4 linked regions of the Canis lupus familiaris genome follow. The protein of the gene in region 4 interacts with the protein of the main gene of each other region in a pairwise test. Links are inferred from orthologs where the notes say so. Each region holds a gene or a part of one and is shown on either strand. Other genes may lie near its edges.

What was found.
Region 1: the proteins of UBE3A (region 4) and MCM6 interact in binary tests that used the Homo sapiens proteins (3 or more experiments, as listed by UniProt). The link is inferred for Canis lupus familiaris from reciprocal best matches to the Homo sapiens genes UBE3A and MCM6.
Region 2: the proteins of UBE3A (region 4) and UBQLN2 interact in a two-hybrid assay, tested with the Homo sapiens proteins (2 studies listed by BioGRID and IntAct). The link is inferred for Canis lupus familiaris from reciprocal best matches to the Homo sapiens genes UBE3A and UBQLN2.
Region 3: the proteins of UBE3A (region 4) and JADE1 interact in a two-hybrid assay, tested with the Homo sapiens proteins (3 studies listed by BioGRID and IntAct). The link is inferred for Canis lupus familiaris from reciprocal best matches to the Homo sapiens genes UBE3A and JADE1.

The regions. Positions count from the first base shown.
Region 1 is NC_049240.1:40,137,142-40,141,413, reverse strand, and holds the start of MCM6 (DNA replication licensing factor MCM6), read left to right. Parts: upstream 1-1,442; 5' UTR 1,443-1,502; coding exon 1,503-1,609; intron 1,610-4,272. UniProt on the Homo sapiens protein: Acts as a component of the MCM2-7 complex (MCM complex) which is the replicative helicase essential for 'once per cell cycle' DNA replication initiation and elongation in eukaryotic cells.
Region 2 is NC_049260.1:48,015,686-48,019,680, forward strand, and holds the start of UBQLN2 (ubiquilin-2), read left to right. Parts: upstream 1-1,160; 5' UTR 1,161-1,449; coding exon 1,450-3,321; 3' UTR 3,322-3,995. UniProt on the Homo sapiens protein: Plays an important role in the regulation of different protein degradation mechanisms and pathways including ubiquitin-proteasome system (UPS), autophagy and the endoplasmic reticulum-associated protein degradation (ERAD) pathway.
Region 3 is NC_049240.1:13,053,943-13,058,208, forward strand, and holds the start of JADE1 (protein Jade-1), read right to left. Parts: upstream 2,814-4,266; 5' UTR 2,749-2,813; coding exon 2,730-2,748; intron 2,384-2,729; exon of another isoform or gene 2,295-2,383; intron 1,776-2,294; exon of another isoform or gene 1,658-1,775; intron 1-1,657.
Region 4 is NC_049224.1:35,646,808-35,650,800, reverse strand, and holds the start of UBE3A (ubiquitin-protein ligase E3A), read right to left. Parts: upstream 2,836-3,993; 5' UTR 2,317-2,835; intron 1-2,316. UniProt on the Homo sapiens protein: E3 ubiquitin-protein ligase which accepts ubiquitin from an E2 ubiquitin-conjugating enzyme in the form of a thioester and transfers it to its substrates.

The sequences.
Region 1 (4,272 bases), on a different chromosome or scaffold from region 4:
CTAGGATCCTGTAAGTCTACTTTAACATAAAAAAATTCCTTTGGAAACCTCCTTTATTTCTACCTGCCACGATACACGTTGGCAATCATCCCCCCCAGGTATATGATCCACCAATATACAACTTGAAGGGTCTCACAACGGAGTTTTTACTGAACAGTAATAAATGACCTTTCCTACGAATAGCTAGACCCAGCAGGATCTGGAACAAGGAAATCTTGTTTCCAAAATACCTGGTAGGGTTACACCACCCCCAACTCCCTCCCATCTTGAAAGTATATAATGGGCCACTCCTCATGACCCCAGTGCAGCTTTTTCTCCTCCTGGATCCCGTCCCTGTGCCTTGATAAAATCATTTTTTTGCACCAAAGGTGTCTCAAGAATTCTTTCTTGGCCCTTGGTGTGGAACCCTAAGCCTTTGCTATCTCAACTGCCTGTACATCTCGCCAATAGTTAATATTCAAGCTGAGTAAGCACCGGAGAAATCTTGCGAAAGTAGTTTTATGAGCCGAAATTTGAAGAAAATATTTATGATCTAGTACTTCCTGCATGTCCCCTGCCCCTTGAACATTAAGCTTATAACCACCAGTTTCATGCAGCAAAGGTGCAGCTCTTCCAGCCTATGGGTCCTACCCCGGTGCTACTTAAATGCACTTGCTAAGCTGCGCCGTAAAACCTCTCGAGAATTCCTTCCTGACCAGGCTAGGCCAGTGATCCCACGACAACAGGAAAGAAGAGGGCCCCCCAAGACAGCTTCTTTGGGAGAAAGAAGGGCTCTGGGACCAGGCACTTAAGGGACTCACTGGAGAAGCAGCTCCAGAGGCTACCCAAGAACGGCCAAAGAGGAGAAAAAGCAAGAGGAACGAAGTCGGGGAAAGATGGCCAGAGAGAGTAAAGAAAATCCAGAGGACCTAAACCAACAGTTGCATTCAAGGGAGGAGTCCATCAACGACAGAAACCTCGCTGATTTCCTCGGGTCGGCCCCAGCCACAGTGACTCTGCGACCCCTGCTCCCTGGTGACTTGACACATCTCTTCGGGCTCCTGGACAGTTGCAACCGGTGATTTACGATTTCCTCCAAACACACAGCTCGGGCAGGTCTGGATCTTACTCATTTTTCTCTTCCACGGAGCCTTATGTCTACTGCTCAATGGGTATCAGTGAAACGACTTGAAGAACACCTGGAAATCCACGTGAATCCCGACGCAACCTCCTAAGCTGCGCCAGAAACCAAGCTGCCGGCCGCCGGCCGCACCGCGCAGGCGCAAAGGCCGAGCCCGCGGGGCTTCCTCCCGGTCTTTGCATTTGGCGCGAAATCCCGGCTCCGGGGGCGGGGCCGAGGGAGAAGCCGCGCTCATTGGGCAGGTTTGGCGCGAAACCCGCGAGCTCTCGCGCCACGATTGGTCGCGGCCGCCGCCGGGGGCGCGCGCCGAGCGGCAGCGTCTGCGGGGAAGCGACCGCTGGCTGAGGAGCGTGCGGGCTGAGGCCCCTCGGCGCCGGCGGCCATGGACCTCGGGGCGGCGGCGGAGCCGGGCGCCGGCAGCCAGCGCCAGGAAGTCCGCGACGAGGTGGCCGAGAAGTGCCAGAAGCTCTTCCTGGATTTCCTGGAGGAGTAAGTCGGCGCGCGCCCCTTCCTCGCGGAACTTCCCCGGGCCGCCGTCCCCACTTCCGGAGCCCCGTTCCCCGGGCGGGCGTGGGGGGGGGGGGCGCGGCCGACGGGAGTAGAGACCCCCGCCCCCCCCCCCCCCCGAGCGCCTGGGTCCCGTCCTTCTGCCGTCCCCGCCCGTAAGGCCGGCGGCCCCGTCGGCCCTGGGCGCCTCGGCGGGCCCTGGGGCACCTCGGCGGACCCTGGGGCACTTCAGCGGGCCCTGGGCGCCTCGGCGGACCCCGGGGCACCTCGTTGGACCCCGGGGCACCTCGGCGGACCCCGGGGCGCGCAGGGTAGGTGGCAGGCTCGGCCCCGAGGGCACCCGACGGCCAGGCCGCTGCCGTGCTGGGGAGCCGTGCGCGGAGAGGACGCTCGCGGGGACCCGGGCCCGCCCGAAAGCGTCGGGGGCGCGCTCCTTCCTCGCGTCCCCCTCCCTCTACGCGCACCTCCCAGGGCCTCCCAGGCTCCTGGGCCCTCCTTCCTGCCGCTGCCGCCCCTTGGGTTTCTTAGTGCAGATGCATCACTTCTTTTTTCCTGAGACTGTGGACTTCCGAATGTCTTATGAAGTCCTCCTTTTTTTTTTTTTTTTTTTTTTTAAATTGTAAGACATGCGTGACATGGATGTTACATGTTATGTTACATCGACCTACAAAACTTCCCAGCTAACTTTTTTTTAAGAGTAGAGTTGAGTGGCGTTAAGGGCGTACGTGGAGCTTGTCAAGCAGCCCTTGGGTGGATCGGCGCCGGCCCTCGCGGCAACTCCTGGGCTTCCCAAAAGTTGACACTCTGCGACCCCTAAACCGTCGCTCCCCGTTCCCCCCACCCTGCCCCCAGCACCTGGCAGCCTTCCTTCATCCCCCGTAGTTCAGATGAATTTCACTGTTCTGGTCGCCTGGTCTGCTTGGAGTCGTACCGTATTTGTTCTTTTGTGACCAGCTTATTGCACTTACCGCTGTAACATCCTCAAGATTCATCCCCCTATACAGCATGGGTCAGAATCTCTTTTTAAGGGTGAGTAGTGTTTCACTGTGTGCCTGTACCCCTTCCTGTCCGTTCGTTCATGGACGCTTGGTTTGTTTTTTTTTTCCCCACATTTTTACTATTGTGAATAATTCTGTCTTAAGAGATCCTGATATATCCTGATATATTTATTTATGTTTTTTTTTTTTTTGAAGTTTTTCTTTATTTATTCATGAGAATCGCAAAGAGAGGCAGAAACATAGGCAGAGGGAGAAGCAGGCTCCCATCAGGACTCATGTGGGACTGGATCCCGGGACCCCAGGATAACAAACACCCTGAGCTGAAGGCAGACACTCAACCATTGAGCCACCCAGGTGCCCCAAGATTCTGATATATTTAAAACAATAATTTAATTTACGTTCCCTATCTCTGCCGGACAGCTATTTATCTTTCAAAGCCTAGCTACAGACTCAGACTTCCTTTGTCAAACCCTATAAGCTTTTTTTTTTTTTTTTTTAAGATTTTATTTGTTTATTCATGGGAGATAGAGAGGCAGGCTCCATGCAGGAAGCCCAACACAGGACTTGATCCCAGGTCCCCAGGATCACGCCCTGGGCTGAAGGCAGTGCTAAACCACTGAGCCACCGGAGCTGCCCCAAACCCTATAAACCTTTAAGGCAACATCAATCCTTTCTTCCCTTAGGCTCCTAAGGCGCCATTTTCCGTTATCTCTGGTGTAACTTGCTATATCTACCTGTCAGCCTCTTTGTCTTGAATGTAAATCTCATCCTTAACCCCACCTGGCTGTCACACCATACTACATAGGTCCTCAATTAATGTTTCATCTTAACAAAGAATATAATTGTTTTCACTGCCTTGCAGTACCATACAGCTAGGTGCTAGGGATAATGATAAATAGGACAAATAATCACTGTATTTGGGGAAGGCGGGGAATGTTAACTTGCCCTCAAAATTCCAACTCTGATTTGCCCTTGTTTATGGAATAAAGTCCCAAATTCTTCACAGCTCCTCTTCCCAGTTTCATCCCACAAGCAGCCTGCCACCATCCTTCTTCCTATACCTTTTCTGACATTGCCACTTATTTATCAACACCTATAGCCAGCCAGTCTAACCACTACTGGGATTTTTTTTTTTTTGGTGATTTTGTTGTTGTTTTTTGCTTTCTTTCAAATTCTAAATGTCTTTCAAGGCTGAATTCCACTGTCCCTTTTGAAATGCTTGAGGCGTTTCTGTGTGTTCTCCTAGAGCAGAATTAGTTTATAATCCCACAGCACATTTCTTGTACCTCTTCCTTTTTTCCCCTTTATTTTATTGTGAAAAACAATAAAATACATAATCTCACTTAACATGAGATCTACCCTCTTAAATTTTTAGCTGTACAATATATTATCATTGACTTTAAGTACAATGTTACACAGTGGATCTCTTAAGACTTATTCGGTCTCATTTGGATGAAACTTTATGCCTATTTATTAGGACCTCCACATCTCCTCCTTTGCTCTAGCCTCAGGCAACTACCATTCTGCTGTCTCTGTCGATCTATTTATTTAATGTAAGCTCTGCACCCAACCTGGGACTTGAACTCCTGACCCTGAGATCAAGAGTCGCATGCTCTACCAACTAAGCCAGCCACCTGTCCCCATTCC
Region 2 (3,995 bases), on a different chromosome or scaffold from region 4:
CTAGGACCCTGGGATCATGCCCTTAGCAGAAGGCAGATACTCAATTGCTGAGCTACCCAGGGATCCCTATTTAATGCATATCTTTATACTTTATATCAGGTGAATTAATCACCGATTTTTTACACAAAGTATTTTATTATGTGGTAATATCATAATATATTTTATCAACCCTGTGTAAGCACACTGATTATCTTTATTTTTTTATTTTTTAAAGATTTTATTTATTTATTCATGAGAGACAGAGAGAGAGAGAGAGGAGAGACACAGGCAGAGAGAAGCAGGCTCCTTGCAGGGATCCCGACAGGGGACTCGATACTGGCACCTCAAGCCCTGAGTCAAAGGCAAACGCTCAACTGCTGAGCCACCCAGGCATCCCTGATTATCTTTAAAAATAATTTTAAGATGCTGCAGTGCATATACATCTTATACATATATATTTTTGCATCCTTATCTACTTTCATAGAAGTGTCTAAAGAAGGTATTTCTAAATAAAAATGGAAATATTTAAAATGTTGATACATATTTTCAAATTGCCTTACACTTATAACAATTTACACTTCAACTGATAAGAGTGCATTTTCTCAGCTCACTGATGATAAGGTTTATCATTATTTTCCTTTTTCCAATATGATAAAGCAGAAGTAGAATCTCACTATCTTAATTGAATTTCTTTGATTACTAGTAAGCTTAAGCATCCATTTTTATGCTCATTGGCCATTTGGGTTTCTTTTGTAAAATGCATGCTCTGGCCCAGTCTGCTCCCCTTCCCCCACTCTGGCTGTTAGTCTTTTCCTTTTGCTTAGTCAGAGTTCTTTTTCATTTTTCGTCTTTTACATGGGGTGAGTTTGATTCAGGCTTTCATCCTTTCTTGCCTGACAGACTTTATATATATTTTTATATATAATATATTCTACATGGGTCTTTTAATGTCCTCAGAAGCTAGCTCCTTTTCTCTCTCCCTTCCTCCTTCCCTCTCTTTTGTCTTCTCTGTTCTCTTTGTTTCTTTCTGTCTTTGTTTTTCTCTCTCTCCCTCTCTCTTTATTTTTTCCAGTACAGAAGTTTTTAATTTTGAACGAGTCGAATCTATCATTTTCGGCCTGGCGCCGCGTCAGCAGAGGGGGCGGGGAGGCGAGCGCGGAACTGGGGGAGGGGACAGGGCGGGGAGGAGCGGGCAGAGCAGCTGCAGGAGTTGCTGGGAGCGCGCGCGGTGCGATCACTCGGCGTCGGAGGAGGCCCAGAGACCTGAACGCAGACGCTTCTCCCGCGGCCTACAGCGTCTTCTCCCCACCGGAGGACCAGGAAACCGCAGTTCTCATCACAGAGGTACCGTGCTCTGCGCTCCCCGCCCGGCTCAGCCTGCTGTGGTGGCGCCTCCTTCCTTCCTTCTTCCCTCGCTCTCTTTCTCGCCCGCCCGCGCCTTCTCTGTCTGCCTGCGTCACCGCGGCCGCCATGGCTGAGAACGGCGAGAGTAGCGGCCCCCCGCGCCCCTCCCGCGGCCCTGCCGCGGCCCAAGGCCCTGCCTCTGCCCCGGCCGAGCCCAAAATCATCAAAGTTACTGTGAAGACCCCCAAAGAGAAAGAGGAGTTCGCGGTGCCCGAGAATAGCTCAGTCCAGCAGTTTAAGGAAGCGATTTCAAAACGCTTCAAATCCCAAACCGACCAGCTAGTGTTGATTTTTGCCGGAAAAATCTTAAAAGATCAAGATACCTTGATTCAGCATGGCATCCATGATGGACTGACTGTTCATCTTGTAATTAAAAGCCAGAACCGACCTCAGGGCCAGTCCACACAGCCTAGTAATGCCGCGGGAACTAATACTACCTCCGCGTCGACTCCCAGGAGTAACTCCACATCTGTTTCCACAAATAGCAACCCGTTTGGGCTGGGGAGCTTAGGAGGACTTGCAGGCCTTAGCAGCCTGGGCTTGAGCTCGACCAACTTCTCTGAGCTCCAGAACCAGATGCAGCAGCAGCTCCTGTCCAGCCCTGAGATGATGATTCAAATCATGGAAAATCCCTTTGTTCAGAGCATGCTTTCAAATCCCGATCTAATGAGGCAGCTCATTATGGCCAATCCACAGATGCAGCAGTTGATTCAGAGAAATCCAGAAATCAGTCACCTGCTCAACAACCCAGATATAATGAGACAGACCCTGGAAATTGCCAGGAATCCAGCCATGATGCAAGAGATGATGAGAAATCAAGATTTGGCTCTCAGCAATCTTGAAAGCATCCCAGGTGGCTACAATGCTCTACGACGCATGTACACTGATATTCAAGAACCCATGCTGAATGCTGCACAAGAGCAGTTTGGGGGTAATCCATTTGCCTCGGTGGGAAGCAGTTCCACCTCTGGGGAAGGTACACAACCTTCCCGCACAGAAAATCGAGATCCACTACCCAATCCATGGGCACCACCACCGGCTACCCAGAGTTCTGCAACCACCAGCACAACCTCCAGCAGTGGCAGTGGCTCTGGCAGTAGCTCCAGCAGTGCTACTGGGAACACCGTGGCTGCAGCCAACTATGTTGCCAGCATCTTCAGTACCCCAGGAATGCAGAGCTTGCTGCAACAGATAACTGAAAACCCTCAACTGATCCAGAATATGCTGTCTGCACCCTACATGAGAAGCATGATGCAGTCGCTGAGCCAGAATCCAGATTTAGCTGCACAGATGATGCTGAATAGCCCGGTGTTTACTGCAAATCCTCAGTTGCAGGAGCAGATGCGTCCACAGCTCCCAGCTTTCCTGCAGCAGATGCAGAATCCAGACACACTATCAGCCATGTCAAACCCAAGAGCAATGCAGGCTTTAATGCAGATCCAGCAGGGGCTACAGACATTAGCCACTGAAGCTCCTGGCCTCATTCCAAGCTTCACTCCAGGTGTGGGGGTAGGGGTGCTGGGAACCGCTATAGGCCCTGTAGGCCCAGTCACACCCATAGGCCCCATAGGCCCCATAGTCCCATTTACTCCCATAGGCCCCATTGGGCCCATAGGACCCACCGGCCCTGCAGGCCCTGGCTCTACTGGCTCTGGAGGCCCCCCTGGGCCCACTGTTTCTAGCTCTACACCCACCGAAACCACTAGCCCAACATCAGAATCTGGACCCAACCAGCAGTTCATTCAGCAAATGGTGCAGGCTCTGGCTGGGGCAAGTCCTCCACAGCTGCCGAATCCAGAAGTCAGATTTCAGCAACAACTGGAACAGCTCAACGCAATGGGGTTCTTAAACCGTGAGGCAAACTTGCAGGCTCTAATAGCAACAGGAGGCGACATCAATGCTGCCATTGAAAGGCTGCTGGGCTCCCAGCCATCCTAATTACATTTCTGTACCTTGAAAAAAATGTATCTTATTTTTGATAATGGCTCTTAAATCTTTAAACACACACAAAAACGTGCTTTACTTTCATTTTGATTCTTTTAAATCTAATTATAAGTCTAATATGCATTTTAAGGTGGAGTCCATCCTTCTGTCCCTCCTTCCTGTATCTATCCTTCCTGCCTGCCTGCCTTCCTTCCTTCTTTCCTACCTCCCTCTATCCCTTTCTCCTTCCTTCCTTCCTTACTTTCTTCCTTCCTTCTCTGTTTTGAATGGTGGTAATTGTAATCAATGCTGTTTCACTCAAAGGTGTTGCATGCAAACACTTCTCTTTATTCTGCATTTATTGTGATTTTTGGAAACCGGTATCAGCCTTCACTGTTAAGTGAATAAGTTTTGTCCTACAGATGTCCAATTTATTTGCATTTTAAACATTAGCCTATAATAGTAATTTAATGTAGAATTAAAATATTAAAAACAAGCAAATTATTTGAAGCTCTCCAATTTGTGGTACAATATTGCTTATTGTGACTTTGGCATGTATTTTTGCTAGCAAAATGCTGTAAGATTTATACCATTATTTGCTCTTTTTGCTATGTTTTACACAGTACAGTAAGCACAATTGGAACTGTACATCTAGAATTATTACAACAGAATCTAAGCAGAATATGTGT
Region 3 (4,266 bases), on a different chromosome or scaffold from region 4:
ATCTGAATATATCCCTGTATCAAATAAGATGAGAATTTATCAAGCTGGCTGATTGGGGGGGGGGGGACACTCCTTATAGAACTGTATATATAGTATGATCTCATTTTGATTAAAATCTATATACATATGCACAATTATCAATAAAGTGATACAGTGGTGATCTCTGGATATTTGCTTCCCCGTATTTCCTAGTTTCCAACAATGTACGTGCAACACCACCTCTGTAATAATACTTTAAACCACTAAGGGCTCCTTAAAGCCAAAAATCATTATTTATTAAGTGACTAGTATGAACGAGTCACATGGAGATCTGCTCTTATTCCAAGTTCTCCAAGTTTTTAGCTAATCCTTCCCCAGCCTCTGAGCTAAGCAACAGTTCCTTTTAAAATAGAACATTTCCTTAAACTCCTCTAAGTTTTTTCCCGTCATCTCACTCTCAAGCGCACTTAATTTTTCAGTTTTCCTGGCTATAGCTATTCTTTCAACCTTAATAATACAAGACGAAAAGGTTCATTATAGGCTAAAACCCTGTCATGGGACAAAGGAGGAACTGTTATGATGGACTTTCTTCTTTTCCTTTTATTTTTTTTTAAGATTTTGTTTGTTTATTCATGAGAGAGAGAGAGAGAGAGGCAGAGGCACAGGCAGAGGGAGAAGCAGGCTCCATGCAGGGAGCCCGACGTGGGACTCGATTCCAGATCCCGGGATCACGCCCTGGGCCAAAGGCAGACGCTCAACCGCTGAGCCACCCAGGAGTCCCTCCTCTTTTCCTTTTAGAAGAACATATACCTAGCTTTGTCATAGGTAGATTTTCTGTGGCAGCCCATCCAACTTTCCTTACAGAAAAAGCAGCCTAGGATCTTAGGGCAGAATCAAGTTCAAGTTCTACAGTTTGTCAGGCAACTCCCTTTAGGTCTGCCTAATGGAAAAATGAAGGGGGAAACGGGGAATCAGTACACTTAGCTGCAAACGATTTGCTGTAGACGTCAAAACTGCCAATTTATATATAAATATAAAAACACGCAAACTTGGGGACCCCGGGGTGGCGCAGCGGTTTGGCGCCGCCTTCAGCCCGGGGTGTGACCCTGGAGTCCCGGGATCGAGTCCCACGTCGGGCTCCCTGCGTGGAGCCTGCTTCTCCCTCTGCCTGTGTCTCTGCCTCTCTCTCTCATGAATAAATAAAATCTTAAAAAAAAAAATACACAAACTTATGGAAGACCAGCAAATACCAAACAAGAAGTCGTCGGAAATATTTGGAATCTAAGCAGTAAAATTCTGGGCCGCAGACGTGCGCTCTGCAGGGTCACCCCAAACACCCTCTGCCCCCCACGGGTGCTGCCCGCTCTACGACGAGCACTGCACCCGGAGTCAGGCCTGCGTCCCAGCAGGGTCCTACGAACTCTTCCTTCCTCTCCCCTGCGAGGCCCTGCGCCTCCACCAGCGGCGACCCGAGCAAAGCGCAACGCCCCACGGTCCCCTCTAACCACCGGGACCACTAGGAAACCGGCTTCCGGGGAAAGGGCTGCCCGGTCCCCCGAAACGAGTTCCTGGGCCTTGAGACATCCTAAACAGCCTTGAGCTACAAGGAGCCGCAGAGCCAGGCTTTCAACAGGGAGCGTCCGGAAGCGGGGGGCGGGGGCGGGGGCGGGGGGGTCACCTAGTAAAAGCCTCTGGGAAACGAGCCCCTAAGCGTTCCTTCCCCACCGGCGGAGCCTCCGACGCGCTCCCGCTTCCCCGAACGGCCGTCGTCGGGGCCGACGTGCAGCTGCGGCTTCGCGGCGAGCGGGGGAGCTGCCCCGGGGCGGCCTGGGGCGCTGGGGTCGCCGCCGGCCGGCCCCGCCGCTCGCAAACGGCCTCCGGGGACGGCGCATTCCTAACGGGTTTCGAAGGCGCGTTTAAATCGCCCGCTTTTTTGTCTGCTCGCTGCCTTCTCCGGGCGCCGGGGCTGCGGCCGCCCCCGCGCGTCCGGGAGGGGGAGCCGGGGAGGGGGAGCCGGGGAGGGGGAGCCGGGGGCGGGCGGGGCGGGCGGGGCAGGCGGCGGGACGCGGCGCCCGCGTGGGAGGGACCCCGGGCTGCGGGGGAGCCGGGCCGCCGCCCCGCACCCAGACGCCCGCCGCCCGCCGCCCGCCGCCCGCCGGGTGTGCGCAGGGCCGCGGCTCCGCGCGGCACCGCCCCCTCCGCCCGCCCTCCCGCCTCTCCTCTCCTCTCCTCTCCTCTCCTCCTCCTCCGCCGCCTCCTCCTCCCGAGGCGACAGAAACAACAGCGCGGAAGGAGGGGAAAGTAACTCCCGGCACCTCCGCCGGAATTAGCCCCGGTGCAGCGATGACACCTTCTCGTGGCGCAGCCGGGCCCGCTCCCTCCGCAGCGCCGTCCCCGCCGCCGCCCTCTCCGTTTGAAAGTGGCCGCCCCCCCGCCGCCGCTCCTCCCGCCCCGCCGCCGCCGCTGCACCAATCCGCTCGGCCCCAGTTGCAAATCAAACGCTCCCTCGCGTCCAGAAGCCACTTGCGCCGCTGGAAACGGCCGCGCCGTCCCCTCCCCGAGTCCCTCCCGGGCGGCACCTGGAGCCGCGGCGGCCGCGCCGGCGAGAAACGGCCGCGAGCTGGGAGCGGCGAAGGCGGCGAAGGCGGCGGCGGCGAGCAGCCCCGGGCGGGCTCGGCTCCGGCTCCGGCTCCCGCTCCGGCTCCCGCGGCCGCTCCCGCCCCCAGACAGTTCTGGAAACTGTGGATCACCTCTGTCACAGGAAGCCATCCGGCGAGGAAGGCGGCGCGGAACCAACAAACAAACGCCTGCGGCCGCCCGCCGGAATCGGCGCGGGGACGGCGACGGGCTTCGGGCCGCTCCCGGGCGGGGGCGCGGCGGCCGCCCCCGCGCCGCGGGCTTTGTGCGGGGCGCGGGCGGCGCGGGCGCGGGCGCGGAGGGCCGGGCGTCCCCGCCCCCGGAGCCCCCCACCCCGGCCCCGCGGCGGCGCCCCCGGGACCGTTAGGTGACGCCTCGGCCGCCGCCCGCCCCCATTCCCACCAGGAGCCGCCTCTGCCCCAAGGCCGGAGGCGGGCCACAAAAGTTGGCCCCGGGGCCCCCCCAGCACCTGCCCACGTGCCGCGGAGGCTCGGTCCCGGGGCTCCCCCGGCCCTTCCCCCCGCCGCCCTCGGCCGCCAGGTCACCTATTACCGGTGGGAGGGGAGAGAGCCTGCTATTTAAACGCCCGCGGAAGTTGAGGCACCCCCACTGGCGGGTGCCGTGCACCTGCCTCCCGCCGCCGCGCTCCGCCACTTTGAGCAGCAGCCGCGTCCTCGGCCCCGCCTCCTGCCCGCAGGCGGGCGGGCGGGCGGGCGGGCGGGCGGGCGAGGGCGGGGGGGAGCGGGAAGGAGGTGGAAGGGATCGAATTTCTCCAGCAAATGGGACCGTTCCGACAGGATTCGGTTCCCCGGTCAACATTCCACATTCCATCCCTCTCCCGCATTTGCAAGCCAGCGCCAACAACCCGGAGAGCCTGCCGGCTTCCGAACAACAGCCCCCAACTCACAAACACTCACAGGCACCAGACACGTGCACCGAAGGGCTCCTGCAACTTGCAGTCCCGGGGTGCACGCCGCACGCTCGGGTGAAGGCAGCGAAGCCCAGGCGGCCCCACCCCCCACGGTCTGCACGGTCTGCAGATGGTGCCAAAGGTTGCAGTTTGCAATCCGCTTTAAGTTCACGGTTAATCGGTACTTTGCTCTACCGAGGCAACTCCTTCCTGGGCTCACCGGTGAAGGGCTTTACACTTTGCAGGCAGTCTCGCTTTGAGTGAAAGGGTCCGCTCCCTGGAAACCCGATTTGGGAGGATCTGACTGCCGAGCTGTCCCTGCACCCCCTGCTCCCTGCCCTTGCATTGATGCACAGAATATTTTGGACATGTGGTGACGCGGTGACAAGCGCCAGGGCTGCCGCGGCCACCCTGCCGAGACGGACCTACACACACACACGCGCGCGCACACACACACACACACACACACCTATACGTCTGGACAGATACAGTCGTCGCCCCCCCCCGCCCGCCGCGGTCACACACACACTCCGGATTCATATATGTACGCGGACCTGCGTTCTGCCATTGCCATCTGTCTACCAAGTTGCTACTATGCTTTCCACTTTCATGCAGCCTAATGCGCTTTGGCTTTTTTTTTTTTTTAAATGTGTATCCGCTAAAGCCAACTAGACTGGGCTTCTGCTCCTACACGCGTGTAAAGGAGGATTCACCTGAAAACCGCACGTTCTTCGCAAATC
Region 4 (3,993 bases):
TGAGTTAGTTTCACCACCCCATTTTACAGATGACAAAACTGCAGCTCACCAAGACTAAGTAACTTTCTAAGATCAAACAAGTAAGGTTGAGCCCAGAAGTAAAAATGGAATCTAATTCCAAAGCTATCTTCCCTGTATACATTATAATGTCTGAATTTATCTTTTCATTTGCAGTGGGGGCAGAGCAGGGAATGTCAAAATCAGCCAAAACTCTGTTATCCCGAATTATCCTAAAAAGAGAAAACTTGTCTTCACTCATAAAAAAAATCAAAAAACTAATTTCTTAACAGATACCTATGTACTTAATGTAATGTCCCTGTTTTGACCAATACTAGTTTAGATATAAACAAAAATGTGCAACATGACAAGTACATAACCAATAATCATTTAAGAAAATAAACATCTGTAAATATTTCAAGTGTTTGGGTTGAAAAATTTAGATATGATGCATAGTTTTGGATTATTCCACTGACTGCTTATTTGAAATGGCAAATCATTTCAGATGTGTGGGGTGATTTTTTTTTTTTCTTTTTTGGAGGGGAGAGAGGAGTACCACTTTAAAAATGATCTAAAGTTTAAGAAATACAACTGATTAAATGTTAAAATCCAATTTTAAATACCCAATAAACCTTATTACATGAGCTGGGCAAGTGGGATGAGAATGTGTCTTCCTCACACTTCTAATAAGCATACTTAAGAAGGTATTTTTTTAAGCCATGAAAAAAATGTACAATTTCAGAGAAGTAAAACAAAAACAGCTTACAAAACCCCTGAAAAGGAACCAAAACATTGTAATATTGTAATTTACTCTGTAAAGTCCTCAAGAACTAGGCAATGTCCAGACAACAGTGTACATAATACTTAGCATACTAGATAATATATATTGATACAAGACTTCCTTAGTTTCCAGTCCCATTCTTGTAAGGAGAAGGTCATTATTTCTTGAATTTATTTCTTGCTTTTGTTGTCATGATTATTAGTTTCTTTAAAAGGCTTCAGGTTCATTCTTTGGTCTTATCAGCATCATCGTGAATATTGTATTCATTTTATTACAAATGTGATAACCCGATTTATAAGCACCATCTACCTCTAAAATTATTTCTATATATATCATGACAAAATTATACTTTTATCTTTCTAAATTCTAAATTTTTACATGGCTTACACAATAATCTGAGTACTTATTAGTCAGAGATTATGAATAAACACTTCTTATCCTTCTTGTCTAATTCACTCAAGATATTTATTGGGTATCCACAGTGACTCTGACAGGTAACTTTTTAACAGTTATACTTCCAAACTCTAGGTCCTTTCCATTTCAGGCCCTTTTCTTCCCCCCAGAATATTCTGGAATAATTTCCTGCTTCTTTCAATATTGCAGGCAGTGGAATTCTCCAAAATTATGGGTCATATCCATATTCCCCTCATATTTACGGAGGGTAACTATGGACTGTAAATCCCATATTACTATTCTTTTACATTTCAACAGCACCCTAGCCACTTAATAAATAGAATCCCAGACAGATTTAGTAATGTTTCTATTTTAGTATGCCCACTGGTCGTTTTTAAAAATTCAGAGACTAAATTATCTTTGAAGGAGTCTAAGTCTACATTAAAATCATTTCTAACAATTTTATTGATTAAAGCATTTGCCACGTTCAATTCTCACTTTACCAACAAAACCTCCACGCCATGACGAAGAAAGAGTCCTTTTCATTTTCTCAACTGAAAAGGGAAAGTAAAAAATGCCAACTGTTTGCAGGTTTGCATTTAAGGGAATTTCTGGCAAACCCGGTAACTCACGTTTAACATGAAAACGCGGATAATCTGTGGACGCGACCCGGGGCTCGATTTCCCACTTCATCCGCCCTCCCCCCCAACCCCACCCCCGCCACCGTCCACCCCCAAATCCCAACCCACCGCAGCGCCAGGCTCAGCATTTTTCACCCACGGGGCCGAGCCCTCAAGAAAAACTCTCCCCTCGGGAGGAGAGGGCCGGCCCTACCAGCCCGGCTCCGGCCTGCTCCGCGAGCCCTTCCACCGAGGCCAACTCTCGACGCCCTGCACGCCCCGCCCCGGGCCCGCTCGCGTCCCCTCCGGCCACACCACCCTCCCTCCGGCCCTCGGCCAGGACTGACAGTTACGGAGGCAGCCGCCGCCGCCGCCGCCACCGCCACCAGAGGCCTAGTCCTGGCAGCAGCCGCCCCCCCCCCCCCACCGCCGCGCGGTCCGGGGGCCTCCCACCCTCCCTCCCAGGCCCCGGAAGGCGGCTCGGCGACACGGACGACGTCGGGAACGGCCCCCGGCCACACTGACCTGCGGTCGCCCCCGCGCCCGGGCCGTGGCCCTCGCAGCCGCGGCTGCCTCACTGGTCGCAGTAGCCTTCGCTCGCCGCCTCCGCCCGCCACCGCCTCGTTCCCTGTCGCTGCCGCCACCGCCGGGGCTCATGCGGGACCCGCGCTTCCTTCTCCGGAGACGGAGGCCGGGAAAGGGGGCGCCGGGGCCGCAAGAGAACCCGAGCTCGCCGCCAGCCGCCGCCTGTCCGCGCTGGGGAGCTGCGGGGCCCGCCGAGCCGGGGCTGGGCTGCGGACTGCTCCGAGCGCGACCCCGAGACGCGCCGAGGGAGGCGCCGCCGCCCGCTGCCCGAAGCGTTGGGTCCGCAAGATGAAGCCCAAGTCCGAGGCGGCGGCGGAAGGCGAGCGCGCAGGCCGGCGGATGGCTAAGTGGCAGCGGGGTGCGTGAGCGGGAGGAAGGCGGTGTGTCGAGGTTCCGGCGAAGGGGATTCAGGCTCTGTCGTCTACTGCCAGTCACCCCGAACCCAGCGCCACCATCTTGGAAAAAAACGCGGATCTCGCGGCCGCAGCGCAAGCCGGGAGGACTGGCTGGGCGGGCCGAGTATCCCAGCAGGCAGCGCGCGCCGCCCGGCCGGGCGAGAGCTCCGGGCCGGGACGCAGCGACGTGAGGCGGGGCTGGGGTGCGCGCGGGCGGGCGCAGCGCTGTGCCCCGCCCTCTCACGCCGGCTCCGCCCCCTGCCTTCTTGCCGTCGTCGCCCGCGCAGGGCCTGCTGGGAAGGGGAAGTGGCTCGGGGCTCCCTGGAGTCCTACCAGGGCTGGTCGCCATCTTGGGACGAGGCAGAGGAGTTCGTGTTTCCATGGAGCCACCTCTGTCTGTGGTGGCTCTATCCCCGCGGAAAGAAGGGGGTAACGCCGGGAGCCCCCTGGAGCCCCTGGGAGGGCTGGACGGCCCCCTGGTATACCCAAGTCCAGGGACGTGCTAGGACATAAACGCTCCCGATGTTAACCGGGATGGGTCCGCCGGGGGGCGGGGGCTGTGATGGCTTCCAGCCCCGCATAGCGGGGCCGACGCCTCCGGACACCGGGCCTTCGATCTCAGCCCCTTCCCGTCAGGCGGCAGCTGTAGGTCCTGCTGTGGTACCCCGAGAGCGTGAGCCACCTTCAGGGGACAAGGTCATCTGCTTGGGCCTCCCGCCGACACAATGTCATCACTGTAGTCGAAGGTGAAAGCCCATCCCTTGGCAGGTTGTTAGGAGATGGTGGCCTCGTGGTCCACACCAGCCGGGGGGATGCTGATTCCATCCCCGTGACAATTGAAGCCACTTAAAGCCATGCGTCTTCATACTATCAAGGTCACCTTTTTATTTAAAAGGGCTTATTTTATGGCTCTGCGACACTTAGCAAAGCTGTAGTGGGATCACTAACAAACAGTATTCCTAATGGCTTACGACTTCGCTAAGCCCCGAAATACTATATAGATCCCATTCATCTGATACTCAATTTTTTTTAAATCAACAGTCTTACATAGCACTGTATTTAACTGCCATTCTTAGAACATTATAAGTCAGATATATGGATACGGCTTCCCAATTATAACCTGTAAAAAAAAAAAAAAAAAAAAAAAAAAACGTAAAAAATAAGCTAGTGGAATTTAAATTATCCCAGAACAATTAATGATAAATGACAGTATTAAATCATG